Kluyveromyces lactis: one gene and its partner. The protein of the gene in region 1 purifies or fractionates together with the protein of each later gene. This does not show direct contact. Links are inferred from orthologs where the notes say so. Each region holds a gene or a part of one and is shown on either strand. Other genes may lie near its edges.

What was found.
Region 2: the proteins of MFB1 (region 1) and SKP1 purify together in Saccharomyces cerevisiae (affinity purification with mass spectrometry; 4 studies listed by BioGRID, with this or other methods). This does not show direct contact. The link is inferred for Kluyveromyces lactis from reciprocal best matches to the Saccharomyces cerevisiae genes MFB1 and SKP1.

The regions. Positions count from the first base shown.
Region 1 is NC_006042.1:1,207,613-1,223,853, reverse strand, and holds MFB1 (Mfb1p), read left to right. Parts: upstream 1-8,766; coding exon 8,767-10,314; downstream 10,315-16,241. Other genes in the region: KLLA0_F13222g (uncharacterized protein), read right to left, coding at 221-3,175; KLLA0_F13200g (survival factor 1 family protein), read right to left, coding at 3,928-5,220; GTB1 (Gtb1p), read right to left, coding at 6,106-8,094; BUR2 (Bur2p), read left to right, coding at 10,645-11,829; septin SPR28, read left to right, coding at 12,094-13,266; ADY4 (Ady4p), read right to left, coding at 13,363-14,457; chromatin-binding protein RAD9, read left to right, coding at 15,286-16,241.
Region 2 is NC_006041.1:1,497,687-1,512,977, reverse strand, and holds SKP1 (SCF ubiquitin ligase subunit SKP1), read left to right. Parts: upstream 1-4,544; coding exon 4,545-5,093; downstream 5,094-15,291. Other genes in the region: DNA protein crosslink repair co-factor UBX5, read right to left, coding at 1-583; LRP1 (Lrp1p), read right to left, coding at 842-1,375; KLLA0_E16985g (uncharacterized protein), read left to right, coding at 1,825-2,343; PEX3 (Pex3p), read left to right, coding at 2,788-4,239; YSP2 (Ysp2p), read left to right, coding at 5,458-9,468; chaperone ATPase HSP78, read right to left, coding at 9,801-12,278; KLLA0_E16875g (bZIP transcription factor), read right to left, coding at 12,829-14,355.

The DNA of each region.
Region 1 (16,241 bases):
GATTTATGAGAGAAGTACAACACTCCTCTTACGGAAAAAATGGTGAAGCTGAATAGAGCTTCACAGAATGATATCTATGTAGATTATATCCAAGAAAGTGTAGTAGGTAGAATACAGATAATTGTAGTTTATGGTTATGCTTTAGTCGAGTAGTTTCGCATCAGCAGCAGTGGTAAAACCAAGGAATAAAAAATAAAATCAAAGGAAGTGAAAATGAGGGTTAACTTGGGAGTTCTGTTGATCCTCCGATGATTTCCTCCAGATCAGCTAGCGCCGTCTCACTGAAAAGTCCATTCTTGGTTACTCTCATATGTTCAGCAGCAGCTTCGGCGATACTGTTTCTTCTTCTCCATGCGGCAACATGGCTCATTTGTTCATGGTTAAAATCAATTTCTTCAATCGGGGCAGTCAGAGAAACCAGGAGATCTGCATCGTCACTGCCTAATAGATCAATATCTCCATCTTCATCTCCATGATGAGAAAGTATTAAATCATCATCAGATTTCAGCAGTTGATCAATTTCATCCATTCCTAATCCCTTCACAGAATTCTTCCTCGTTGGTAAAACCAGACCGTTGAAATCATTAGGTGTGTTTCCAGCATCTGCATCGGTGAAAACACTTGAACTTGGACTAGCCAAATTCACGCTAGAGGGAGTTTGAATGTTGTTGTGAGAATCTGCGTTGGGTTCAGTTTCAGTTTCTTGTTCAGGAGCAGTGAGCAATTTTTGCTTTTCAATTCTTTGCCTTTCCCTTCTGATTTTCAAGAGCTTCTTTTTCTTCTTTATCTTCCGTCGCTTTTCATCTTTCTTTCTTTGGTATTCCTTCATCTTATCGATCTTCCTTCTAGTCCTTTCACTACCAACGTAACCAATTGGGAACTTGCGTGCTGAAAACACAGGAAGCATGTATTCGTCTTCTTGATGTTCGAAGTTGATGCCTTTATTTCTGAAAGCAGATAATGGAACAGATGGTTTGTGATACCAGGTGGCAATCTCTTTATTCTTAGAATTCGAGTCAGCGCCATCTTCATTGTTTTCATCTTCAAGCTCACTCATATTCAACAATTCGTTAAGGGTTAGTTCCTCTTTTTCGCCTCCTGATCCGATACCATTATGTGATGAAACGTCTTCGACTTCAATTCTTGGATCTAAAATTTGTTGAACTGGCGGAATAGCAGGATACAAAGATTTAGTGGAAAGGCCATCAATGATACTAAAGGGCTTGTTATCTGTCTGCCAAGTTCCAAGTTTCGGAGGCTTCAAACCAACAACGTTGGCACTAACGACTTCTTTTGCCTTAGTCCCAATTTTGCGTCTTGTATTTGGAGGTGGTAAAGTGTCATCTTCATCAGTGGATTCGTCATCTACAAAGATGACACCTTCCACATGGTCATCTGGAGTGTCAGGATAGCTCTTAGCTTCTCCAGCTTCCTCATCTGATAACGAATCGTAATGAAAGTAGAAGCCATCTGGATCGAGATCATCAATATCAATGAAAACGTTGGTGACACTCATATCGTCATCATCTTCTTCAAAGTCATCTTCACCATCTGAGTTTTCGACTTCGTCTAGCTCCAAGCCATTTTCATCCTCTTCATCTGTAGGGAGGTGGGCGATATCTAATAGAATATCTTCGTACTCTTCATCTCCAGATGAAAGCTCTTTATCAGATACTGCCACGGTACTGAGCCTACGCAAAGGAGATTCAAGGTCATTGGTAACTTTAGGTTTCTCGTCATCGCTTTGGAAAAATAACCCAAATACGTACTCATCTTCTGCAAGATCTGGAGTAGCAGAATGTTCACGTTTAGACTTCTTGGAAGTCATTCTTCTTTTCAACCTCTCCTGCCTTTCCCGCTGTTTTAATTGCTTACGCTCTTCCCTCTTACGCTTCTCTTCGCTTAACACTAACGGTAAAGATGTGCTTAAAGTTAAGGGTTGGTCGCTGCCATCATAGTAATACAGATTGGAAAACTTGGGATCTTCATAAAAGGGCATATCGAAATCACTCATGATTGCATCATCTTCATCGTCCTCGTCGTATTCGTAATCATCGTCGTCATTTCTGGGTTTCCCATCTCTATACTTTGATTCCACCTGCGAATCATCGAAAGAAGAATGATCATCACGTTCAAGCTGTTTAACCATATTCTGTTCTTCAACATCCAGAATAGCCATATCGTCATCACCAGTCTCAAGGCCGTTATCTATACCGGTAATATTTTCGTTATCATCATCAATGGTCTTGAAATATGCCTCTTGATCGATATTATAATCTGAATCCTCACTATCTGAAAATTTCGGTACCGCCAATCTATCGACATTTGGTTTAATGGAATCTAAAGGTTGTTTCACATCTTTATCCTTGACTTCCTCACCTAAATCTTCATCAGCCTTCTTGGAGGCTACTGAAGCATCACCGAACTTGATCCCATCGTCGCCTTTGAAATTGAATGACAGTTCAGGAGCATCTGATAGTTCAGAGCTTGAAATGTCCTCATCATTCGAATCCGAAGCTTCACGATTCTGCTGAGCCCTATTAGGAAATCCACCCTGTTTACTATTACCTTTATTGTTGCTGTTACTGACGACAGTTTCTGCAGGTGTCTTGCCCCTCTTCAAAGCGTTCAGCTGTTTCATTGCGTTTTTCTTACGTTCCGCAGTAAGTCTCACAAAATCCACGTCATCGTCTGAACTAGTACTCGAACTGTCGCTATCATCATCGTCATCATCGTCATCGTCATCATCATCATCATCATCATCATCATCATCATCGTCATCATCTACTGCCATTGTACCTCCTTCATCCTCCGAGAGAGACTGGTAGTCTGAAGACGCTGTAGCACTGTCCGAACCTGATGTGATGGCTGAGTCCTGATTCGTTGATATCAGCTTTCCGTTCTTACCCATCGCATTCGAAGATCGACCTTTTAGCTTAGTTCCGGCTTTGGGATTCTTATATAACGGTAACTTGGACAAATTCGAGCCCCTGCTGTTCGAATCCTGTGGTATATCACTCAGCGACGAATCACTAGAATATATTAGACTGAAACGTCTCGGTCTAGAACTTAAATGCGGAGGCTTATCCTTCTTATTTCCCATTTTATCCTGTAACGCTTTCAGAGTCGTAGGCTTCTTCCCACTAGTTAACTTCCTCGGGCTTTTACCTGACATAATATATATGTGTTATCAGTTGCAATTAGCAGCTGCAATAATGGTATTCTACTCTTTAGTGGACTTTTCTATATGCACCTGGATCAAATCAATAGGCTCAACAATTTAATAAAAAGAAAACCAAAAGAAAAAAAAAATTTCTAGGTTATAAAACGTTTTATCCAGTTCAACACAATCTTTAATAACTAGCTAATCAACAGTAAGTGTCCTGGGATCACACACAATTCAAATCTTTATTCCTTATTCCTTATCCTTTCTCTTCGCAGATAAACGACTAGTAGAATGAAACCAAAAAAAAAAAAACCGAAGAGCAGGGAAATCTATTCCTGAATATTCCTGATCTTACTGCACTTCTAACCTAGATACGTAAAATTTTCCACTATCTTTACAGCCAGCGTTGGTAGGAGAAACTCTGATTTGATCAAAGACAGAGACAAAGACAGAAACAAGGTTATTCTCTGCTTTTTTTACACACTATTTTATTCTAGTCCCAATTTCTTGAGATGAGCTCTAAGTTTACTTTTTATTTCTCTGTTTTCCTATGAAAATTGGTTGAGAAGATAATGAGGAAAAAAATTTCTTTTGTTGTACCGGGTAATGTTCTGCTGTGTTTGAAGATTGCCAAGATACGTAATTTGACGTTTGACGTTTGACGTTTGACTCTTGGATATGGGAGATCAGATGTCTGGGATTAATGACGACTCGCATCTATTCACTCTGTTAATCATTTTTTAAATTTATCTGAATTGGATCTATGGACTTATAAATGTTGTTTCTACAAGTGATATTGCACGTTCGTCATCTACCTCGGTTCTTTGACAGAACTGATATAGATATGGGTTGATTCCTTCCACCTTTTCCACAATGCCTTTCAATACCGTGGGCATCTCTTGTAATATATCGTACACATTGATTAGATTTAAGGGCCCCAATAGTAACGTGGGGCATAGTTCACCGTCTTTTTTGGGTAACGGAATCTCTACGATGTTTGGATACTCTACTCCGGTCTTGGGATCCAGTGTTAGCCCAAAATGTTTCACATGCTTATGTTTATCCTGTATACCGCAATATATGCGCTGTGATGAGGTTATCTTGTTTGTGTCCGACGATATGGTCACTGTTTGTTCACCGTATTCTTTTGGCGTTGTAAACTCCATACATAAAATTGTCCGTCTAGGTGACATGAAAGCAGCGAAATTCCACGATTTGGCAGCGCTGTTAGGTTTAAGGCCTTGCAATGCAGTGATGAGGACCATAGGTACTGAGTGAAATTTTATCTTTTTCGAGTTCACCACTATATGCCCTGATCCAGTACAATTCGGAGCAAATACATGTCTGATACACCTGTCGACGTTTGGGTTGCCCCTCATGGGAACTCTCGAGAAGAAACTCCTACCATCGGGTTTGATCTTGAATCCCTTGCCTATATTCACATCTAAACTGATGGACAACTCTTCCGTTTGACCTTCGACACTTAATGTGCCTATCCTTGATTCATTCGGAACCGCTTCAGCTCCTTGATAAAAATTGCGTGAGCGTTGTTTCTTTCCAACAGTATCTTCGTCCCAACTGGGGTCACATTGTTTCCGAAATATGAACCGCATGTTCTGATTGCTGACTTCTAACGGGGTGAAAACAGATGGCTTCTTTAATTTGACGTTCTTCCAATAATCGATATACTCACTAGCATTATCACTCCCAGAGTCATTAGTACGGTCCTTGTCTACATTAAACACCTTGATGTTCATTTCAAATGACTTGTAGAACCCTCCTAGGACACTGCTGTTTAAGAATTGGATAAATCCACAGTATCCACTATCTTGATCACAAAAATATAACGTTTGAGTTTCGATCTTGGTAGCACTACCCTTTTTTATAAGTTGAGAACTGCTTTTTGTTATACCACTTTTCGCAAGTGCATTCCCAAGTGCGCTATCATGGTTCGCATGAGGATACGTTTGCCAACTGAATCCATCAACGTCATTGATCTCATCATAGATTTCTTCACCTCCAGCGACACTACCAACAGGTTGAAAATATCCCATTCCTTAGCTTATCGAACCGAATTGCTGTAATCCGTTCTCAAATCTCGTTGTTGCAGTACTCCCTTAGGTACCTGCCATTGGATATGTTATTCTTCTAAAAGGCTTTACACTGAAAAAAAAAAACCATCCTGAAATGCCACAGAATACTTATATAGGTTCTGTCAACTGATATTGACACATACTAATGCGGAAACATATTCTTGCTAGAAAAATTAGTCGTTTGCCATTTTTGTATCCGTTTTGACATGTCGTACGACTCAAAAAAAGGAGCCTGAGGGAGAGAGAGGGGTGCGGGGGGCGGACTTAACCCGTAGATTCGAAAAGGGCACCGCTTTCCGTTTGCACGTAATGAAATAGCTCACAGTACACTGATTTCCATGCCACTTAGAGGTGAAAAAAAAGGAAAAATAGGCAGCTCCAATTCCTTAAAGTTCTTGTCCAATCCTGCGTACAAGGGATCTCCAAGAAGATTTTCTTCTTCAATTACCATTACGCCTTTTTTTTTTGGGACTGCGGCGAAGTTCTAGAATGTTGACATTTCCAGCAGCCCGTAAATCTTCTAGAGCATGACTTACTATACGAATTGACCCAGTTCCCTTAGTTACCTAATGCCTTTTCACTTGTTTCGTCGTACTTGCCACAAAAAACGGTCTTCTTCCTTTTATGTCGTTTAGTGCAGATATTGCGGCAGAAAGGCATGCAGGTACCGAGGGGTACAAAAAAAATTTAAAAAAGTTAAAAAGCTTATTCCGGCATATGATTACGTTCAAGCGCGCACACACAGCGAGGAAAAAAGCGTTTATTATATAGCCTGTATTTGGACTAGGAATTAGTAGATAGATGAGGTGTTACAGCCACAGAGAATAATCAGCCCTGATTCATTCGTTATATTAGCCAGTTTGGTCTTTCATAATGGAAATGAGGATCGCATCCTAATGGTCCTGTCATTTCAAATACGTAAGAACATCTCGTTGGTTCTGAAACCGACTCGATTTTGAAATCCGGTGCACATCTCATTTGAATTGTGGCGGATCTTAAAGGACCATCCCAGCATTTAGTACCCCCTCTGTACTCTAATATTAACCCATTGTTCAAATCAGGTAGATTTCCCAACAAGATTTCCTCTTTGCCGATTTCGACAGTGTCACTTGATAAATGGTTGCCAACTTCTGTGTTTGGATACCTATATTTCAAGCTTTGAAGGTAAACGTCATATTTTGAATTGGTGTCGATCGTGAAGCCTCTATAACGGCCTATCACAACTTTGTTACCATCAGGTTTGTTCTCTATTTGAACAATATCACCGCCTTTGTCGTTTGAATAGCATAATCTGTAGATATAGGAATTAAGTTCGCTATCGACACAGAAATCCTTTAAATTATTTAGCAACGTGCCAACTTGTTTGTGGATCAATTGTGACTCTGAGTATTCTCCACCTTGGTCGTTCAATTTCTGTTTCAATTCTATGATCTTCTTTTCTGTCTTTCTGAGCTTCTTTTTTAGTGAGAGTCGTTGCTCTTTCATGAATTTGATCTGGGATCGGTAGGATTGCAATGAAGTAGAGAAAAAGTTCATACGATCGAATGCACCTTGGACTATCCTCATTACACCCCAGTCAGAACCTTCCGTTCCTGAGTCGACTGCGATGTTTGGTGCCTCTTTCCCAATGAACAGCAATAATTCGGAAAATGTGTCACTGAAATTCTCAGGGAAATCAATGGCGTACAGGGAATCCTCATATTTGGACATGAACGACATATAACTGTCGGTGAAGCTCTTCACTGCGCCGTCTTGAAAATTTATGTCATGATTTTCAATTATATCATCTGCAATTTGTTGGAACTGTTTTATTCCATCAAGAGTTAAATCCTTGGTTTTATACTTGACGTTAATGATTCTCTGGATAAAGTTAGATTTGGCAACGATAATCTCAGGAGTATATTTGCTTTTACCCTCAAATAAAAATGTTGGAAGCTCTTCATTAAGATATTCATTGATTTGGTCACGCTGAGTACCGTCCAAGCGGCCGTCAGGCTGGAAGGACTTCTTAAACTTCATTTCTAATTCTGCAAATTGCTTCATGTTCTTAATTACCACTTTATCATTAAGTTTACGGTTATAAGTTTCATATAAATTATTCAAGATGAACTTTAGTTCATTAAAAGCATTTGATAACATTTGAGCATGAGAGAACACAGACACTACCGAGTCAGTGATAAAAGTAACGTTTAAGTTCTCGTATTCAAATAATTGTGGCGATTCTTCAAAGAGTTTACATCTGTAAGATTCCTCTAAACTTTGTAAATTTTCTTCGACATTGTTCAATGCTGTTTTAAGATCCACTGAGTACGTAGTCAATCCATCTATTTGAAAATGAACATTTTCAGCACTGTTGGGATCGTCTGTATTATCTTTCGTCTTGGATTTGAGTTTCTTCAAAGCAGTGACACCAGCACGGTAATTTTCCAATTCTGTGTTAAGTATTCGCTGAAACTCATCATTCAACTCTGAACATGATTTACCACGACTGAACGGCTCACGCAAATACTCATCTGAACAATCACAGCAGTCGCATACACCGTCGTTAATCTTATAATTCAGTATATTTCTTGGAGTGAATCCTTCATTATTACAGTAGAAAAGAGCACGCTCTTGAGAGGCATTAGTTCCTGGTTCATCAGAGCAATCCGAGCAGTCACACAAATTATCATTTATAGAGCTGTACGGTATCACTTTTGCTGTATCATCTAGGCATCTCCATTTTGTTGGATCCTCTGGTAAGGGCGAGTATAGTGACTGATTCTCTGGTGGTACACCTCTTATACTTTCGGAAGCACATGCCAAAGAGAAAAGTACCATCAATAGTAACAGCATGTTGTCTACAGTTGCCTATGGTCTCGTCCTTACAGGGGATTTCGGGTTGGCTCTTCTTCGATTTACGTAGTGAGCCATACATAACTTTTCATGATGATCTGCTATATTTAAACTCAAAGATTCGTTAAGGAAGCAGACCACACATAGAAAAAACAAGAGCATGAGCTACCAAAGAACACTTACTACGATCCAACATCATTTCTTGAGGGTTGAGGCAGCCATTGACACCATGTTTTCTCAAGGGACTACAAGAAAGGTCCCAAGTAAACCTCTTGCTTTTCAAGTCACATGATCAAACAAGTCACATGATAGATAATTACCCAATTAGTTTAATTGGTAAACAATGAACCTGGAAGAGTAAACTGATGAGAAGTTAATGAAACCTCAAAGCATCGAACTTTGTCCCATTGAAAGGAGCTAGTGTTTACAAAATTCTGTGTATCACATGAGTTTCTTGGTTGATTTGCTTTTACAAAGAAGCTAAGAACGATATAAAGTGGTAGAAACACGTAAGGAATAGTGAGAGATCTTCTCTATGAGACGATAGAATTGACTTCAAACTTATATAACTAGAAAGAAGGGGAACGAACAAAACCAACCGATTAACACCAATATAAGAATCGGTAAAGCTTTAAGGGTACAAACAGAACAAGAATACAAATTAAACAACAAATGGAAATCTCTGGTAAAATGCATGAGGGTGACAGTCTAGTGGTAAGTCCTAAATCATTAGATGAGCTACCGATAAACGTTATATTCCAGATACTATCAGAGCTCAAATTCTCTGATTTAAAGAATGTGTCAGCCACATGCTGGACGTTAAGAATTCTTACGAATGAAAAATTAATGTACTATAGTATACTTCATGACCCAAAGAATCAATATTTATGGACGAAAAGATACTTTTTAGATTCGCTAAGGATGTTACAAAGGAATAGACGAGGTTTCGATTTTGTATCTTTGAATGACACAACATTCTTTCAATCCCTGCGATATCTGCATAATGGAGTAAGGAAGGTCTCAGGGAACCTCTTGAGACTGTTAGAATCAAATGATGATTTAGGGATAAACGAAATAGACACTGCATCGGAAAGTGAAGACAATGACAATATGAACAACGATGAAAATGATAATGAAAGTAATGGATATGATAGCCAGAACCAGCGAGTAGGAAAAAAATACATTAATGACGGGAGAACTGATGGTGAAATGATGCCCGACAACTCAGATCTCTGGGAAACTGAAGATGAGTCGGATATTGACACAACTAATGACGTTAATGGATTGGACCAAATATACGCTGAAAATATATCAGTTTTTGAGGAGGATACTGGGAGTGATAGTTATAATGATGGTCAAATTCAACCGGTGCAAATATCTATGAATGACTTTGCTGATAGTGAAAGTACGCCTACTAAAAAGCCACGCACTAAGCCGACAAAGATCGATAAGGAAGGATTGAAATACTTGAGAGTTTTGGAAGGCTTTCATAGGATTGGTGTAATTTCTGGGAGAGAAACACCTGATAGGATAATTACACATAATACCTCTGCGACTCCAAATAAATATGGCAACTTACTCGATGATGTACAATTCACCCCACTCAGCACAATAAGCTCTTTACTAAAAAGAATTGACTCTGGATCAGATTCTAATCATGCCCATTCTCCCGATTCGTTTGGAATTTCGCATTCGCGGTCAGGAAGTTCCGTATTTTCAGATGGTGCCCCTAAGTTAGCAGATCAGCCTTGGTCAAAGATCTATGAATTGGATCATCAATCGCTTTCAAGTTCTGATTCTGATTCTTCTTCTTCTACTGAATTTATACGGCAGTTGCAATCGTCTAAAAAGGTGAAGGACAAGGCTGTACTGTTTGAACGGCTCCTGGCTAAGAGTAAAGAAAGAAGCGTTTCGTTGAAGGAGAAGAAATCCCATGCATCAAGTAATAATGGTAATTGCCGAAAGGTGTCAGATGATTACTTGGCAGAAACAAGAAGAAACGCATCTCCAGCACCTTCATCAGTTTCTTCGATAGATACTGAAATGAGATTAACAATGCAAGAGGTAAAGAACAATTCAAATGATCATTTTGACTCTCATGCCAAGACGAAGAGTTCATCCACTCACGGAATAAAACATTCTAAAATTCATCATAGAAAGAAACTCAAAGCTTTGGTCATGGACGGAAATCGGATTTGCTACGAAAAGATAACAGAATAACACGATGACTTGACGACTTGGGGAATATACTACGATACTGCCTCAAGCCCACACCTTCATTTTCTCACATTTTGTCTATGAGTGTTGATCACAACTGATCTCAACATATAATACAAATGTATATATATAGTTACCCTACATTCATGATAACTTCCTTTTTATTCAGTGAATTACATATGCATCGTTAAAATCCACTGGCTGGCATTGAATCAGGAAAGAGAGACGTACACACCACTACAAACGTCATTTCATCCCAACCAACCATCTCATATCTACTCCGAATTTTGAGTCAATTTGAACGAATTTCTCGTGAGCTTTAACAGATTAAAAATGGTCCTTTCAGCCAGCGAAGAGATAGCTAATTCCCAGCCCAGTGGTAATGGTAAGACGTCATTAGACATCAAGCAGAATGAAGGGAATCCTCAATTCAATCCAAGAAATCTTTGGCCTGATATAATCAAATGCCCGAAGAATGAATGGACATTCGAGTATACTGATATAATTAAAAGGTTAGGTACTGATGAGGAGAAAATTCAATTGACGAAGAAGAGAATGGAGAAGTGTCTCATGTACTTCCATAAATTGAGGAAGGAGATGAAACTTTTCGATCATACTTACACTGCAGCATGTATATTATTCTACCGTTATTGGTACAAGTATGATCTTCCGCCTACTATACCTCAATGCATCCATTTGGCGCAAGCTATTCTAGTTACGGCCTGCAAAACCATGGAAAATAACAGACCAACTGACCACTATATAAAAGCAACTTGTGATTTCATGATGAAAGATGGCCCGTCCCCAACTGGTCAGAAGTTGAACGTGGAGAAATTGAAATGGGAGGTCAGGGACCAACTTGTTTCATATGAAAAGAAAGTGTTATGTCAGTTAGGGTTCGACCTTGACATTGACAATCCGAAAGAACTTATAGAGGAAATATTCAGTGGATATTACAGACATGTTAGAGATACTGATATTGATGCATCACTTCGAGAGATTTTCCCCGTGATTTTACAAGAAGCAAGAAATTTCATCATCCAAACAGGAACACAGCCAATTTCATTGCTATGTGATGGATACACACTTGTGGCCTTAGCCCTAATATTCGCTGGTGTGACCTTTCAAAAAAACAAAGAACCGGGCTTCAGCTTCCCTCATAACTTCTTCAGGAGGCGTTTCCCAGTAATTATAACCAGTGAAATCATTGCTTCGTTGTTCTCGCATTATCAACAACTTGAAAAAGCCTTTTTCGATTTGAAGAGCAACAAAAATAGCGCTTTATCCATTACTGTTGACGAAATAGACAAAGTGATAGATGAAGATAGACAGTTAGATCCCGAACCATTCAACCCTTACGACTACGACATCATAAAGGAGGGAGAAGTCAATGAAGAACTTTTGAACTATACCGAAAGAAAGATCGAAGAGCTTTCGAATAGAATCATGTCTGAAAGAAGCATAAAAAGACCTTCAGAGCCACCCGCCGAACAAGCTACGAAGAAACCGAGATTTTGAAAATTAATATAAACTATGTAGTATCATCACGACTCCATTGACGGACAAACTCATTCATACCTTTTTTCCCTCGATTTTGTATGCACTATTTTATGACACAAAATCGTCGCTTCTTTTATTTCACTGTCGAAGAATGTTGTCAGATAAAAGATAAAAAAGGGTTCGAAGAAAGAACCACATCATTGCATCATACTATTTGCGCACGGAAAAGATACGAAGGTTCACGAACGGTGGCAAAGTGAACAGTGTTTCCCATCAGCTATAATGTTTGGCAAAAAGAAATCTAATTATCAGATGCTTAGTGCAGAAGAAATTCGTCGCAGGAAAAATGCCAAAAGAGGCATACAGTTCTGCATGTTGGTGATAGGAGAATCAGGTTTAGGCAAGTCCACTTTTTGCAATAATATCTGCAACCAAGAGGTTTTTGGACACGAAGAAGAGGGTTTTGATCCTGCCACCGCACATTTGAGCCCAGGCATTGATATTGTGTCCAAGAATTTCCATTTACAAGAGGAAAATTCTACACCAATAAGCCTCGACATTGTTCTAATTCCAGGTTTGGGGGATAATATCAACAATTCTAATAACCATGAAGTCGTTGTTGATTATTTGGAATCCCAGTTCGATCGCGTGTTGAATGAGGAAATAAGAATCAAGAGAAACCCAAAAAATGTTGACACTAGACCACATGTTTGCCTATTCTTCATTAGAGCAACGTCAAAAGGCCTTCGTGAGCTAGATATAAAATTGATGAAGGCGTTATGTGACAAGGTCAATATCATCCCAGTCATCAGCAAAGCTGATTTATTAACCGAAAGGGAAATAGCATTAAATAAACGTCTCATCATGGAAGATATTTATGAAAATGATATCAATATCTACGATTTTGTAGATGATAAACTAGAAGATACTTTGATGCTTGTCGAGGCTAATGATTCTAGTCCAATTCCTAATAACACTTCTTTTGACAGTATGCAGCAAAATAGTTATGGTGAAGGAACAGCCCAATTGAATACAGCTTGCTGTAGAATCAGGGATATGTTACCATTTTCGATAATTGGTAGTAATGAAGTTGAAGTCTCACCAAATGGAGAACTGTTTCACGTGAGAAGGTACTCCTGGGGAACTGTAAAAGTGGAAAATAGGGCTCATTGTGATTTCATTTATTTGAAGAACATTCTATTAGGATCTCATCTTCAAGATTTGAAAGATACAACGCACAATAAGCTATATGAAAATTACAGAACGCAAAAGCTTTTAGCTGGCAACAACTATCCGTCAAATAATGATGAAAGAGATATTCTTGCAGAAAGTACTGTTCTAGAGCATCAACTTAATCATAAATCAAAAGAGATCAATGAGGAAATACGTGGCTACAGTTCTAAACGTCTTGATGAATTGAATAGTAATTTTGTAAAAGAAACTATTTCAACTTAATCGATTCGATTTATTAACACTGCTTCCCACTAATATATAGATAGAAGACTTGGTGTTACATATATAACAAAAATTATATAAAAGTGTACTTTTGCTTTATCTTTCATTGAGCTGTCGCCAAAATTCTATGAAGTTATTGGTACCATTTTCGCCCATTTCAACATTATCACGTTCATAATCAGACCCACGAACTTTTCGTTTCAACTTCTCTGCTTCTTTCGAATAAGTATGTCGGTTTGATAAGACGGGATCGAATTCAGAGTCGACTATTACTTCATTGGTAGACAACCGGATTAGGACACTTGGTAAAAGCTTGAGATGTTGATGATTCTGTGCAACTGACTCAATTATATTCACAAAGGTACCAGAAAGCGAAAAATTAGCATAATCAGTGACAAAGTGCTGTTCATTTATGGATTTTGCACACTGGTAGAACTCACCATAGAAGTAGTTGAAAGTAGCTAAGTCAACTTTATTCACAAAAAATAAACCCATCAATATTTTGTGGAAACATACAAGCCTTTTAGGGTCATCGAATGGGAAATGAACTGCAGCTAGCATGTAATGACGGATCATATAAGTGGAAAAAACTGTTTGCGGTATTATCACAGTAGTCTTAACATCATGTGCGTGCTCATAGTCTAATACTTTCCCATCGAGTAGCGCAATAAATTCATAGATTTCTGCACATATCTTGAAATACTCCGCAGTCATATGCTTATTCTGGATGTCCTGTTGTGCAGATATTACACTGCTTGAATTTTCCAATATTGTGTATAATATGCCTTTGAACATGTCCAAACGATTCACCCTAACCGAATTGAAGGACACGTATTTTACCCTTTTCCCTTGATTAAAATCTAAATTCAAACATTTTGCCAGATAAAGTGAAGTTTGTCGAATTATCCATGTTATCCGAGACGAGGAAAGGTCTGATCGCTTCTCACTGTGACGCTTATTTTTAGAGACTGAAATGAACTGTAGAATCCAGCGGAAAGAGAAAAAAGCGGTCCCATATTCTTCATCTAGAAGCTCGAAGAATGCTTGAATAATTCTGAAGTTGATGATAATGTTTGTCTTCCATCTAAGAACAAAATGATCATCTGCATATCTAGCACATAGATTATCCGACATATAATTTGCATCCACTGTAAAATCAATATCGGGATTGTGATCAAGAATACCCTGCATTATAGAAATGATACGCTGTTTGCTAATATTACCATTTTGGAATCGTTCTTTCACAAGATTTAAGGGAATGAACGAGAGTATGATATCCACAAAGTCGTCCCATACTTCCGTTGAATCTTTGATTAGTTGCTTGGCTTCAAGCGTCTTGAGACATTTTTCCAATAACGACTCAAAACAAAGTAGAACATCAACATATGAACCTAATAGTAGATGACATTAGAGTTAGTATTTACCATTCAATCGTTATCATTGTTAGCTTTCATTTAATAATGTCACTTACCATTACATTTCGAATTTTTGTCGGTCATGATATCACAGTTATTGTTGCCGACTAAAGGGTGCTAATCACGAGAAGCAAAATTATGCTTGCTTAAGGCGAGGATCATAAAAGCTACACCTCTTGTGTTGGTATATATCGTTTGTGCCAACAACCAAAAAATGCATTCTAAAAGGTTCACTTCATGTGTGTCTGACACCCATCGATAGAAAATATCATACTTTTCCTTAGAAGAACCGAAAATCAATTCCTAGAATAGCAAACCTGCAACCAGTGCTATACTAGCAACTCATATACTAATACCCTGAAGAGATGCGACCGGCTATGGATACATAATAATAAAACTCACACATCGCACAGTTGACTCTTTAATGTCTTAGTCTTTAACAACTACAAATGTAATATTGACAGAAAATCATAAACCAAAACAAGAAAGTTTACAGTATGTAACGCACAACTAACAAAAGTTATTAAACATTCGATAAAAATACGGAGCCAAAATATCACTTCATTCTGAACCATCAATATCAGTATCTGCTGTTTCATATGGTATGACAGGAGACGAAGAAGACAGTGGTATTACCAAAGAGACTCCCAATTACAGTCCAGATCGAAAACAGCTATCGAACAAGATAGAGTCTACTTCCTCAGATGAAATAGTGTTAAAAGAAAATACAAGCACCCGAACGCTCACGGGAATTAACAAGGCTATAAAGGCTTTGGGTAATACTGCTCTCAATTTAAATCCAACGAATAAATCCCTGTTAGAAGACACACCTGAGGGAAATCGAGATCTCGAGATTAGACGAAGAATTGATATCCAATCAAAGACTGATGTATTGCAACGATTTCAGGAGAAAGACTTGAATATCGAAGTGGAATTACCGTTTGATTTGACTCAAACTAAAGGTATTCTTTTGAATAACAATGACACATATCAACCTGAATTATTAGACACGCCATTAAAGAATAAGATATCGATTCGCTCACTTAGGAATGCTAAAGGTGAAGTGAAGGCAGCTTCAGAACCGATCAGCTTGATTGAAAATATCAACTCGTCCCCAGAGGGGCATCCACAACCATTTATAATGACACTGAAGGATGCAGATAATGGTAATATCTTGGGTGATATTGACACTCAAAATGTAACTCAAACATCTAATGAAATGTTAGTACCTGCAACGAATTCAGCTAATGTAAGTCAAACACAAGAAATCAGGTCTACATTGGCCGATGAAAAGATGACTCAGCTAATTAGAACTCAGTCTAATAACCTCGATGTCTCAGAGAGCTTATTGAAACTAGATGAACAGTCTGCACTTCAAGAGACATCAATAGTGCATACATCTCCAATCAATTTTGGCTCATTTCATCACAGTCTTCTTCCTTCTACCAGAACTATATTGACACAAAAGGAAACAGGTTCTAATTTCAACGAAGAAATCCAGTTGGTTCATTCTCCAGCGGTCGTTAATCTCCGACCCATGCAGCAGGCCTCCAATAAATC
Region 2 (15,291 bases), on another chromosome or scaffold:
CGTCTATTTCCACGACGTTTTCTTCTACGTATTCGTACTCATCCTCATTACTGGGATAATTTTCTTCATCAGTAAACGCAGAATCACTATCGTCATCATCGTCATCCCGATGGTAGTTGTTAGATCTACCAGAACGTAGTAGGTCTGTGTCTAATTGTTGATTAAAAATTCCTGAAGGTCTTGAATTGTCAAACATATCCCTGGCATTACGCAATGGTTCAAAAGAACCTCCAATACCACCATAAACACTAGGAAACACATTTGTCTCCACCAATGTCTCGTGTCTTGCCTGATCCGGAGCCCTATATTGATCTTCATCCTGATACGCTTGTCTTTGTAATTCTTCAGCAAACTCTACGTCGCCACTCAGACCGCCAGAACCCCCTGTATTAGCACCAGCACCAGCACCGGCATTATTATTACCAGAATTGCTGTTCAACTGTCTCTCACCACCATGTTCAAAGAATAACGAGATGGCTGTTTCCAAATTGCCTCCGGCCATCTCAAGGAAATGTCTTGACAATTCATCGTTATCTGTACCGCAAACACCTTGGAAAGTTGAAATATCCTCGTCAGATATCATGGCTATTGAAATGTACTTCTTTTAATCCTTTTACTGGTCTCTGTAACTCTCTGTTGCCACTTGAAACCTGTATCTTTGGTTAATTCTTGTTCACGTTTGCCAACTGGAATTTCCTTCTTTTTGTTTCCCAATTTTAGTGTATTTATACTATACAACTTGTTATGTCAGTGAAAAATGCGATGCTAATTATTAATATAGAATGCCAGAATAAGACCCAGGAATACATGGATGAACATGCCAGGACATATTTCAGATGAATTATTTCTTCGATACTTTACCAGATTGTTTTTGCTGTTTTGATTTCTTTGTTCCGTCTACTACTCGATTTGCCAGTCCATCCTTATCAGTGCTGGTGGTGGAAGCCTCTGTCGAAAACTTAGTATGTTTCCCCTGAAAGTTGACTTTACTGATAGCAGGTTCCATTTTGCCACCTCCCAACGCAGATTGTAGAACTCTTTTTGCTTGTTCTTCTTGCTCCACCTCATCCTTCTCTTCAGATTCTTTCTTAGCTTCTAACTGTTTAGATTTATCCATATATGACTTACACCTTGCCAATTCGGCCATGATAGGTGACAGGTCTTTGATATTGAGGACTTTCATGTATGAAAAGCATAGTGAACTCAATACATATGCGTATTTGTTTGAAAGATCAAGTTTCTTCTTTTCATCTTGCAGAAGCAACAGTTGTTCGTCCAATGACTTGCTCGTTAGTTTGTTAATCTCACCACTGAGTTGTTCCACCTGTTTATTGAGATACGAGATGTATGGTTTAATTTTCTTAGTATCTTCCATGCTGGTAGTTGTATGTGGTCCGTGTTCTTGTCGTTGTCGACTGAGGCAGCGATGAGATGAGATGAGATGAGATGAGATGAAGCTGTATAATACCGAGATGAAGTATTCTTCACTGAATCAAAATTTTCGATCAATAACATAATACTGCGAATTTTTCGCAATGGAACAAAACGCATAATAATCTGCGTGCGTTTCGCACGTAGAAGTACTTCAGTAATATTTCTATTTCTTTATCCAGCGAAAATTCCATATTTGCCTGCCAAAAAAAAAAAAAAAAACGCAAGACATTACACACATTCATACCACATATATGGAGAACCTGTACTCAATACAGGGCGAGTAGTCCTATTTGGACTGTTGAAGTAACATCCACCCTCCGCCAGTATACTTAATTTCAACACTGGCCTAGCTCAAGAAGTACTTTAGTTTGTTTCTCGTCAGCATAGATAATGGTCGCTGATGACTTATCGAATATAGAGACACAGCTACGACAGGTTCGTGAGAAATATCGTGAGCAAGCACACTCGCTCTCGCCAAGCGATGCAGAATCATGGTCAACCTTGGCATCAAATTTGCAGAAAGTCGTCACAGAAATGGATCAGCTTTTGCAGCGGAACTCTAAACAGATGAACGTATCCTTCCTATTGAACCACGAGTCATCATCGCTTCAGGCTGGAATACAGCCACCGCAACCGCTTCTACAGAACCTATACCAAAAGAACGGGAACGACGAACAGCAGAACCATCTCAAAGTCAAACTCGATAGAACTGCGTTCTATTCGGAAAATTCCCCCTTCCAACATCAAATGGATCGGTCTGGTTCATTCAGACTCTGTCCACCTTTAGCACATACAAGTGCAGAAGATTACTTCCGCAACGATACGCAAACCCCAATTATGATCTCAGATGGCCAGATCCTGGAGAACTTGGCCAATCTTAAACGTCTCACTGAGATGCAACGCCAATAGGTGGATGTAATCTTCGTTTTCGTTTGAGATTCGACACATCACATATATGATCCATCTTTTATTTGAGTCATGCGAACGTTTTTGACCAATTATACACATATACACATATAATATGTATAGTAAAAGATAAAGCTGTAATGATACACTATAAAATATCTGTTGGCACCAGTTGCAGAACCATAGAGGTTCAATACCCAACGCAATTCTATCTCTTTGGTATATGTTTTCTCTTAAATCTGTCGAATTTGTCGCTCTTTGAGGGGGAAACAAAATTCGAAAAACATTAAAATAACTAACTAGCAAGTAAACATCAACATCAATAAAGTATCAAGACAAACAACGACACTAGGAAAGCTCTACACGCAATCTGACAACGGCTGTAGTGGAAAATCAATAGAAGAATTACATTGCTCTAAGTTATAAGTTATTTTTTTACCCCTCATCATGACTGGGAATCGATCTCTGGTTCAGAGACACAGAAAGAAGTTCGTTGTTTCTAGTGTTTTGTTTGCTACGCTATTTGCTACATGCGCTATTACGGTCTATTTCAGTAAAAGATGGTTGTACAAGCAGCATTTGAAAATGACGGAGCAACGATTTGTCAAGGAACAGATCAAACGGAGGTTTGTACAAACTCAGCAGGACTCGTTGTACACTCTTTATGAATTGATGCCGGTAATGACGTTAGTGTTGGCTAAGGATTTCGATCTTGATTCTATTGTAGAGGCTCTAAAGGGGAAAAAGTTACAGAAGAAGCTTTCCAAAGGTGAAATAGCTGGGAATGAGTTGGAAAATGAGGGCTTAAGTTCAGGAATGAGTGCGATGACGCCTGCACCCAGTGTGTCAGCGAAATCTCCGCAATCTGCAGATACCACTAGCGTTTCTGAAACGTCTACGAAATCCAAGGCCGAGCTTTGGGACGATTTGAAACTCAAAGCTATCACCAAGATCATTATCTTGTCCTATACCACATCATTATTGATGCTTTTAACCCGATTGCAATTGAATATATTGGCAAGAAGAGAGTATTTGGATACTGCCATCAATTCTGCCATGGAAAAGGAAAGGGAAAAGAAGGCTAATCAATACTCAGTCTTATCTTGGTTCTCTAGTTGGATCACTGAAAAGAGCAACAATTTACCCAGTGAAAAAGCTGACCCAAGAAACAGCGATGGTACTATTGACACGGACACAAGGAGCATTGCATCCACTGCGAACCCTGAAAAATCGAGATACGTTAACGAACAAGCTTTCTTATCCTTATCGTGGTGGTTATTAAACCGTGGATACCTACAATACAAGAGTATCATTGAACAATTGGTGAAAGAAGAGTTCCAAAATTCGAACCCAAGAGATATCATGACAATGGATGAGTTCAGTGGCAAGATAAGCAAGATATTCGTCACCACAAACAAGCAATTCTTTCAACAGCCACAATCGAATGAAATGTTCATTTCATGTCTACTTCCTGAACCTAACTTAGAGAGATTTGTTCTTCAACAAACTTTAGAACAAGATGCTTTGAAAGTACTATACGAGGATAATCTATTACTAAAACAACTTGTACAAGAGACCAACAAATGCCTACAATCACCTGGAACATGGATTGTCCTGGAGTCTTTAATCGATGAAACATTCCACACAATCATGGAACAAATCGAGGATAATGTCAACAGCAAATCGAAACCTAAATCGAATGATGACGACACCAAAGTAGTCGATATATCCAAAAATTCATATCAAATCGCATTATTCTCTATCGCCACGAAAGACTGCACAAACGAAATGTTGAAAGCGGGACTCGTATCAATGAACAACAAGTTCCTACAGAAACTACACTCCATCTCGGCACTTGACGATCTCAGTGCATGCGTATATAGTAACTTCGGTCTATGAAAACCTTACTTGGCCCTCCATTCAAGTACTGAAATCGCTCCATACCGTGTATGTAGATAGTTCTATAGTTAACGTTACTCTTTCACTGGCACTACGGGGTTTCTCTTCCTGTTTCTTTAATGGCCACGTGATCATAATTTTCTTTTCCTTAAGGTCAAATAACGAAAAGAATCGAATTCCCAACAGGTTGTCAATCAACATGTTATACATCTCAGTTAATGTTTGCAAGTGGATAGGAGCTTGGTGTTTGTAGTTAGTTAGCACCATAGAGTTACCAAGTGGGTTCTATTTAGTACCAGAAAATCATGTCCAAGGAAAACCAGAACGTTGTTTTAGTGAGTGTTGAGGGAGAGAGATTTGTCGTTGACAGGAAGATCGCTGAACGCTCACTTTTACTAAAGAACTACTTGCAAGATCTTAACAGTGGCGATTTGCATGATGATAACGATGCTGACGATGACGAAGATGATGAAGAGGATGGTGACGATGAAATAGTGATGCCCGTGCCCAATGTGAGGTCGTCAGTATTACAGAAAGTGATCGAATGGGCCGTTCATCACAAGGATTCCAATTTCCCCGATGAAGATGACGACGATTCGAGGAAAGCTGCGCCTGTGGATCCATGGGACCGTGAGTTCTTGAAAGTGGACCAAGAAATGTTATATGAGATTATTCTAGCAGCTAACTATCTAAATATCAAGCCATTGTTGGATGCTGGATGTAAAGTTGTTGCGGAGATGATTAGGGGCAGAACACCTGAAGAAATCAGAAGGACCTTCAATATCGTTAACGATTTCACTCCAGAGGAAGAAGCTGCCATAAGACGTGAAAACGAATGGGCAGAAGACCGTTAAACTTACAAGTTTTCTTGTTGTTTTCTCTTTCTGTATCTACATCCTCTTCAGTTTAAAATAGCAATTTCCCTCATTTCCCGTATGTAATCAATAATTTAAGTACTTGCTTGTTAAGCGGATCTTAATTGAAGTAGTGAATTTGAGTCATGGGCAAACGCAGGGATCGCTTTCATATCGCATTTATAGCTTCAAGGTCTGTCTCTGCACCGATAATTTTTCATTTTTGTACCTATATATAATATTTAAAGAACGCGCTACCTTAAATTGAAACTTTTTGCTTCTGGTTTTATCTATTCAAGGCAGAACTGCATCGATAGATGCACCATAGGACCCTTGTTACTGGTATACTTGGTGTAGGATTGTGATGACGTTGACCATTGGTGAGGAGACCAAATCCAGACTAAGATCGCTAAGCGGGAATACTAGTTCGTTGCTAAATTTAAACAAACGCAAGAAGAAGAACAAGGAAAAGAAAAAGGATAAGGACAAGAGTCAACCAAAGTCTCAGGGCAATACACGTGTGCTACGGTCTACGAGTCTGAAACCCAATGTCAATGATGATGCATCTGCATTATCGTCGAATTCGAGCTATGATAAGGTGTATTTGATGGATGGGAGTGACCATAAAGCAGGATCTGCGAATCATGCCTCTGATAAGAACAATGTTTCAAGCACGGGTTCAGGTATCCAAAGCATCAAGATTCGTAGTAGCAGACAGTCTGGCGAAAAGTCAAGATCGAGGTCGCTGAGGATTTCTACATCATTGTCGAGGCTTCCGAGAAAGAATTCATTAAATGCAGGAAATGATACGTCTTCCACTGAGGGTTTCAATCAAACTGCAATGACAAGGGAAGAGAACACTGATCCATTGGGTTCGAGGTTACGGGTAAGCGATAGCAAGGCTTCTCTATCTGACGTACCATCAACGACTCTGTTCACCAAATTCAAGTCTTCGAAAAGTGATAGTGCGACTCCCGTAAAGAGTAAGCCAGACGAATCTGATTCCGGCCTCTTTTCATCGCTAATATCGGCTGCACATAACGCTGCTAACCATTTGATACCCAAAAGTTCACTGAAGAGTAGTAGCAGCCTTTACGATGAACCGTCCAATGGAGATAGAACTCAGTTGCTGACTTCTGGTATTGGTGGTACAGATACAAGTAATGATCCATACAACCATACAGGCTCATTTCTGAATCATTTAGACTTCCTTCTTGCTCCCAGCTCGAATAATGATTATTTACTGAAGAAGGCGACGACACTAGACACCCTTAATACCAGCGACTCCTCTACATCTTCCATTTCTCAACAAATGACTAATCCGTCTTCTACCGTGCCGTTATACGATGATAGCGATCAAGATGGTAATAACAGTGATGATATTGGTTCTGTGGGAACTTTCATGGATAAAGTCAAATTTACATCAGTAAAGCAAGATAATGCCCCCCCAATTTCGACCTTTGGGAGGGGAAATCTAACTTTAGATGCCATTGAAAAGGACAAAGATGATCTCAAGTCCACCGGCTTTCATACACCAAGTGTGCTGATTACCACAGACCAACCAGATCGACCGGTATCGTCTCCGTCCCCACTCTCAATGCCTAATGATGATGCAAATACGGACAGCAATACAAATTCTGCCAGTCCTTCATTCGAAAAAACTAGGCCGAGGAACGGTAGGTCAAGACGCCCCGAAGTGTTGAGAGATTTAACTATGAGATCATTGTCGCCTGCTGCAGCTACGAAATTATTTACAGCACCCCTAAGAAATTCATTTTCGGGCAGAAACATGACAAGAGCGAGTAGCATATCCAAGACCAGTGATATTGTTCAACCACCTGGAGGACCAACACGCCTGTCAACTTCGGACATTCCAATAAAGAGAAAAACTGAAGAACCAGAACTTCAAGGCATTGAATATGCAAGTGCTAAGCGTAATACAGATTTCCATACAATCTTTAAAGACACCGTAGTATCTCCAATTGAAAGATTAATAGCGGATTACAGTTGTGCTTTATCAAAAGATATTCTCATTCAAGGTAGGTTATACATATCTGATAGACACATTTGCTTTTACTCGAATATTTTGGGATGGATGAAGACTGTTGTAGTTCCATTCAAAGAGATAGTTCAGATCGAACAAAAGAACACTGCCGTATTATTTCCTAATGCCATATCGATACAAACCTTACATGACAAGTTCCTGTTTGCATCTTTCATATCAAGGGACAGTACATTTGATCAAATTATGGATATATGGAATCAAACAATAATCAATAAAAACTTCAAGCCTAAACGAGGTACTATGGGATCTGCCGATCTGATGAATGATGAGAATCTGACTCTTGATAGTGAAGCTTCAAGCATGGATTACGATGATGAGGATGTTCAGACTAACGACCGGACTTCCACATCTATCACTGATTCCTATGGTAACCGTGATGAAAGTGATTCGTACGATGACGACGATACCGATGACATAAATCCAGATGATATGACAAGTAGCTCTGAGGAAAGCACAAATAGCGTGTCTGACGAGGCAAGACCCTCAGGACTTTCCAAAAGTTCAAATTCTCAAAGCTCAGCACAGTTGGGTCCTTCGAAACATGAGCCGACTACTCCCGACTACACGCCAAAAGAAAATGAACGAGAAATGGGGGAGACCATTTTGAACGCCCCTCTTGGTACAGTGATAAATATACTCTATGGCTCAGATGTCCAATACTTTGATCGAATATTAAAAGCTCAAGGCAACTATGATATCTCCAAATTTAATGAAATAATCCAATCCAAAAAAAGAGAATACGTGTACACTAAACCAATTTCCGGTAGTATAGGTCCAAGTAAAACTCGCTGTGAGATTACTGAATCAATCGACAAGTTAGATCTCAAAAATTACGTGCAGGTCACACAAGTCTCGAAAACTCCCGATATACCTTCGGGTAATTCCTTCGTTGTTAAAACAATATTCTTATTCTGTTGGGCTGATGACAATTCAACCAAGGTGAAAGTGTATACTTACGTGGACTGGTCTGCTAAGAGTTGGATCAAAGCGGCTGTTGAAAAGGGAACCTTTGACGGAATAAAATCTTCTACGAAAATTCTTTTCGAGGAACTTGAAGACATCATCGAGGAAAACAAAGGTAAGAGCAGCTCCCCAGATAACAGAAAGGATATTGAAGAGGTTTTATCTTCACTACCATGTTTGGGACCTAAGGAACACGAACCAACCGAATGCACTTTTGAAAAATCAAGCGGCTATGAAATTATTGACGATAAAATAAGTTTCAAGTCTCCTGTTGGTACCATCTTCCAATTAATATGCGGAGATGATACCTCATACATGAAGAGAATATTGGAAAGGCAAAAGAATATTGAAATATCTGATATCCCACCATTTCAGAATAAGACTAGAAAGTACACATACGTCAAGCCGCTACCAGGATCAATTGGTCCAAAGCAAGCAAAGTGTTACATCGAAGAGAAGATTGAATCTGATGATGTTAACACGTGTATGGTACTTGAACAAATATCAAAGACACCAGAAATCCCATCTGGTAATTCATTCGAAGTGCATACCAAATTCTACTTCTCCTGGGGAGAAAAAAACACCACCAATGTCTTAGCAGCAACGAACATTGAATGGACTGGGAAAAGTTGGATCAAATCGGCTATACAAAAAGGATCTATAAACGGACAGAAAGCTAGCGTTCAGGATATGGTAGCTGAAATAAAAGACATTCTTTCTTCTGCGTCGTCAACAACGAAAAGAAGACCAACGATATCTAGAAGGAAAACTGAAAGATCCAGGTCAAAGAGGAAAACCATATCAAAGTCAAGGGAACAACCAGAAGTACAGAATGGCGGATTATATGCAACTGTCCAAGAAATATATGGTATTGTTAAGGATCTAGTTGCTGACTTACCTCCTATTATTCTTGCTGCTGCTGCTGTAGTGCTGCTTATACTAATCATATTTGTCCCTAGACTCTGTTCGAGTTTATTCCACAGAAGCCCATCGCCTCATTTCGTTAGTCCCAGTACAATTGTTATGGACGGGGAGGAGTACTATGTTCTGCCTGCCATGGAAACGTATTATGGAAGGAATAGGCGTGGTAATAAAAATAAGCCATTCAGTAAACTTTATTCTGATTCTGAATATGATCTATGGAATTGGATTGATTCACACAGCGGCTCGGAACTAAACAAAAAATCTGGACCGAATTTAGATGTCAATTACAATATAAACAGTACTATTCCTTTAAACAAAGCTGTGGAACATAAGAAGCAAAATTTAAAAGAGGTTATCAGATTAACTGAGTTACAATTAATGAAGCTAAAAGAAAAAGCAAATTTAACCGATAACTCGACTTAATCGCAATTTGTAACTAATATATAATATTCATAGGCATAGTTAATCACATTTGGCTTTATATCTTCTAGCCGCCATCAAAAGTAAAGAGGTCAATTGAGCTGACCTTGCCTAAAAGTCCATGTCTCATATATTGATTGCATCATCTTGGTACGTATTTACATGTATAAAAGTTTAATATTTGGCCATAAAGCAGTCCGTAATATTATTATCGAATTACTACCGGGGCGGTCTAACAAGGGTGCATAATTTAGGAATTCAGTGGAAACGCACAGAAAGTCAAGAATATCGATCATTACGCTGGAGAGTTAGCAATTGCGGGTGTTCAACGAGATTTACTCAACATCAGCTTGCTTGTCATTTCCGAGTTCACTTGATTCGGGATCGTGGTTTGGTTTAACCACTAACTTGCTATCTTCAATAACCACATTTACAGTCTCCTCGTGTCTCAATTGACCCCTTAGCAATTGAATAGCCATTGGATTTAGGATTTGTTTATGGATCAATCTGTTCAAAGGTCTAGCACCGTACAATGGGTCATAACCTCTTTCAGTTAACCAATCCTTAGCTTCGTCAGTTAGATTTAGGGTCATACGCTTGTCGTTCAATCTTTCTTGAATTTCCTTGAGTCTAATATCGACGATTGAACGGAGAACTTCTTTTGATAGTCTGTTAAAGACAATCAAATCATCAATACGATTGACAAATTCTGGAGGATAGTTCTTTTTAACAGCTTCAATTACGCTTCTCTTAGTCTTCTTGCTAACCTTACCATCATCACCTAATTCGGTATCATGCAGCAAAATGTCTTGGCCGATGTTCGATGTCATAACAACAATGGTGTTACGGAAATCAACTTGGTGACCTTGAGAATCTGTTAGTTTACCTTCATCCAATACTTGCAATAAGACTTTACAAACATCTGGATGAGCCTTTTCGAATTCATCAAATAATACAACAGCATATGGCTTACGTCTCACGGCTTCAGTTAACTGACCACCGCTTTCACTTAACACATAACCGGGAGGTGCACCGATTAATCTTGATACTGTATGTTTCTCCTGGAATTCAGACATATCAAATCTGATAACGTTAGATTCATCATCAAACAAAAACTCTGCCAAAGCTTTAGTTAATTCTGTCTTACCGGTACCAGTAGGTCCCAAAAACATGAAACTAGCAATAGGTCTCTTTTCACTGGTCAATCCAGCTCTTTGTAAACGCACTGCGTCACTTATAGCATCGATTGCTTCATCTTGACCAACAACTCTTTCTCTTAATGAATTCTGCATATATAGTAATCTGTCCTTATCACCTTTCAAAACGGTTTCCATTGGAATACCTGTCATCTTGGCAATGACTTTAGAAATGTCATCAGAGGTAACAGAGTCATGTAACAAGTTGTTTTCAGTATCCTTCTTGCTGTTCAGTGCTACTTTTCTTTCCAATTCAGGGATCTTGGCATATCTTAGTTCAGAAGCCTTGGCATAATCACCTTCTCTTTGACAAATATCCAATTCGGTTCTCAACTTATCTAAATCTTCCTTGGCAGTCTTGATGGAATCCAATTCAGATTTTTCGGTTTCCCAAATTTCAGTCAACCTCTCCAATTCTTTCTTCTTCACTTCCAAATCCTTTTCAAGTTCCTCTCTTCTTTCAACAGAAACGGGATCAGTTTCTTTCTTCAAGGATTCTAATTCAATTTGCATTGTCATAACAGCCCGATCAATTGCTTGAATGGAGTCAGGCTTTGACTCGTGTTGCAAACGTAAAACAGCACATGCTTCATCGACCAAATCAATAGCTTTATCTGGGAGGAAACGGTCGTTAATGTATCTGTTGGATAGCACAGCAGCGGAAACTAAGGCTGAATCTGTGATTCTTACACCGTGGTGCACTTCATACTTTTCCTTTAGACCTCTCAAGATTGAGATTGTATCATGAACAGAAGGTTCATTCAAGATGATAGGCTGAAATCTTCTGGTCAAGGCAGGGTCTTTTTCAATGATTTTGAATTCATCCAATGTGGTAGCACTGATACAACGTAACCCTCTTGCCAAACGCGGTTTCAAGATATTCGAAGCATCCATAGAGCCATCTGTCTTACCCAAGCCTAGTAACATGTGAACTTCATCGATGAAAACAATGATCTTACCATTGGACTTATCAATTTCATCCAAAACGTTCTTCAACCTTTCCTCGAATTCACCACGGTACTTAGCACCAGCGACCAATGAACTTAAATCCAAAGCGTATAAGTCTTTGTCTTTCAAAGATTCTGGCACTTCATTGGCAACAATTCTTTGAGCTAAACCATCAATCAACGCAGTCTTACCGACACCGGCTCTACCGATCAACACTGGATTGTTCTTGGTTCTACGCGAAAGAATTTGGATAGCTCTCGATATTTCCTGATCACGACCAATCACTGGGTCTAATTTCCCCTGTTTAGCCAACTCCGTTAAATTCGTACCGAACTGTTGTAAAGCTGATTCTCCACCCTCCTGATCTTTATTCAAATTTAAATTATAATTCTTAGCATAGCTACGAACAGAAGCGACATTGAATGCAGTAGAAATGGGCGGTATACTACTTATATTGGGCCTTCTAGCACCAATATTTAAACCAGATATAACTTTATTACCCCGGCTTATTCCAACTGTAGTTTGGTTTGGTTTTTGAACCAAACTGCTAAAAGACCGGCACGTACATCCAAGTTCAACATCAGATATACTAGGTTGATATATTTTAACGTTCTTTAATAGCGACGTCCGACTTAGCTTACGATTCAAATTTTCAGCAGACCTTAGCATTATTTAATCCACTCTGATTGTAATTTCTTGATTCACTATTTCACCTGCAAACTGTGTAGTTGTTTGAATAAGGCTGCTATTAATAAACAATCTGACCAAACGTAACTGAATCAGTGGTTGATCTGACTGTATGCCTCTTGCTGAGCTTTACTGTTGTTGTTTTTCTGAATTCTCCCTTGTTCTTATATACTTCGAAATGTCTCAACCGCCGAGGTCTTTCTGTTGTTTTCTCCCGAATTCTGGAAAAACATGGAATTTTGGTCACATGACGTTCAATTTTGGCACGTGATTAGGAACTAAAGCAGGGAGTTATATGGATCTTGTGTTCACTATGGACAAGCAAAGTACCAAGCAGGAACGGAGAAAAGGTTTGAATATAGAAATTGGAATGTCTTGTAGGAAGTCAGGTCAATTACTTACTAAAAAGTGATACGTAAGGGAAAAAACTGCGGATGTGAGAACTGTGATTGGGAATGCGTGTATGCGTTAAGAGTTAATTATTGTCAAACAAGATTTACATTAGAACTAAGAGCGATGGTGCAGTGATTCATCAAAGGTTTATCTTTTGCTGGTACTGACCTAGTTGGAACTTGAGCATTCTGTTTTCTGCCTTGTAAGTTTCAAGTTCTGCTGCTATTCTGTTGTAGTCTCTTGCCTTGAATTCAAGATCCTTGATATATTTCTCTCTTCTCTGTCTGAATGCTCTCTGAGCGTTCCTGTTCTGGGCAGCACGCTTGGTGTTGCGCAATGCTTTTCCCGACTTTCCAATTAATTCTCCTTCGGTATTTAGACGTTCGCCGTCATTTATCATTGTGATTGTAGGTAACGTCGAAGTAGCCAATGTCGTGGAGTTTTGTAGTAGCGACGCCGGGTTTGAACCTGATGTCTGTGACGACTGGTTACCTGTTGCGTTTGTCGTGGAAGAGTTGATACCCGTGGTACCGTTGATAGTATTGGTGGAGGTTGTGGTATTATTACTATTAGGTGGGTTCATTGGGAGATCCGTAAGGTCGGATTTCATGTTCATCATTCTTTGAGAAGCCGTGTTTGGCATGTTATTTAGACCCGGTATACCGCCGTTGTACATGACACCGCCGCCGCCATTGGAATTATTTGTAAGTTTAGCGTTCGCATTTGGATTGGTATTGGAATCAGACCCGCTGTTCAACATCATAGGCATCTGCATGCCCATCAACGTACCGTTACCAGAACCATTCGTGTTGATACGACCAGTACCGCCTAGTTCTGCCCCGACCGGGGTAGTGGTCACAGAGGGCGTAGTGGAGTTCCCAAGCGTTGAGTTCACAAGTGGTGAAGCACCAATCTTACCTAAACTATGGTGGTTCCCTAAATTCATGTTATTCAGGTTGTTCATATTCATAGGTGAAAGTTGAGGCGAGTTATCCCCTGTTACCAAGGGCATATCGATTCCCGGGACCGGAATATTCATACGCTGTAACGACGCAGTCGACATGGTACTTTTAGGATATTGCATGAAACCGGGTGTGCTCCTACCTGTTGAATTCGCAGTGTCACGTATCCTATCCTCGACATCTTCATCGTTGAGTTCACCATTATCTTCTTGATCGAGTGTATTGCCATTTTCATTGTTGGTCTTACCGTTCATATTTTCTTTCTGGTTCGCTGTGGATCCTGAACCAACACTGAGATCCCTATTATCGTTGCTAGAAGCGTCGTTCCCAGAACTAATACTCCCTTCAGTGGCAGAATTCCTATCACTATCATTAAGTGCATCGGTATTATTACCGTCATTGTTGTTATTATTGATATTATTATTATTATGATGATGACTGCTATTAATATTTCGGTTGTTGGCATTACCATTGTTATTTTTCAAGTTAGTACCGGTGTTGCTGGTTCCGCCGCTACTATTGTAGTTCAACTGAGGCAATGAAAGATCTTGCATGGCTCTTGGAGTATTAGAGAAATTAGACCCGGTATTACTGACGGAGCTCCTAGTACCGTTTTCCACATTTCCGGATCCACTATTGTTAGACTCTTCTTGGACCAAACTGGCCAAATTCAACAACGATGACTGCGAGTTATTCATCGACATCTCTTATCCTGTGAGTATACTTTTTCTTCCAATAAGTGCGTTAGAAAAAGCCTAAAAATCACAGAGACAGACAGTATCACAATATTCGTATCGATTAAGCTTTATGAATATTGATAACCAAGGCCACTGATGATATTATCGACACCACAAAATTCTTTAACTAAATTTAGGGTTCTTGATCCGGTCGATGATTTGTAATCGCAGGAAGGGAAACTAGGAAGAAGTAAAGTAACGTCAAAATATCAAAATAGAGAAAACCTTGAAAAAAAAAAAAAAATTCAGGTCTTGCTCGATCTTTCTACTGCGGGAGAAAATGACTATGATGACGAAATAGAAGAAGAATATAAGAATAGAATGCTCGAAAAATCACTTTTGTTGGGATGGCAACAGGATAAGTTATGACGATGAGGGTGTAGCTTCTTATCCAGTTGACCTTGCTTTATTAGAGTTGATAAAACTGACTTTATTTCCTGGTTGAGGCTAGAACTCTGACTAGACCTTAGGATTAATCGTGAAAAGTAATAATAAGTAAACTATTATGATAGAATCAGTTTAACAATCAAGTGTATAAGCAGACGAGGGTGATGGTGCCTATCGGTACAAAAAACGCAAGAGAATATTATTGAACCCACGGGTGAAATAAGCAAAGGAATGAAAAGAAAAAGCCGGTCGTATTTATATAATACTAGCTACTCATCTGACCTACTTATACCAATATTGTATTTTTGGTACGGATGTGAATATAACACAATCCAGACAGTTAATAGTGAATGGATTGACGAACCCTTAAAAGGTTATGTAGTGTTAGCCTCGTCCTTGCTTCATCCTTCATGCTTCATGTTTCCGTCGACGACGTAACACTACTATCCAGCACGTTACGAACTTGCAGCACTCGCCGGTTCAGACCCCACTCCTTTCCTTGACGAATTTTTTCTA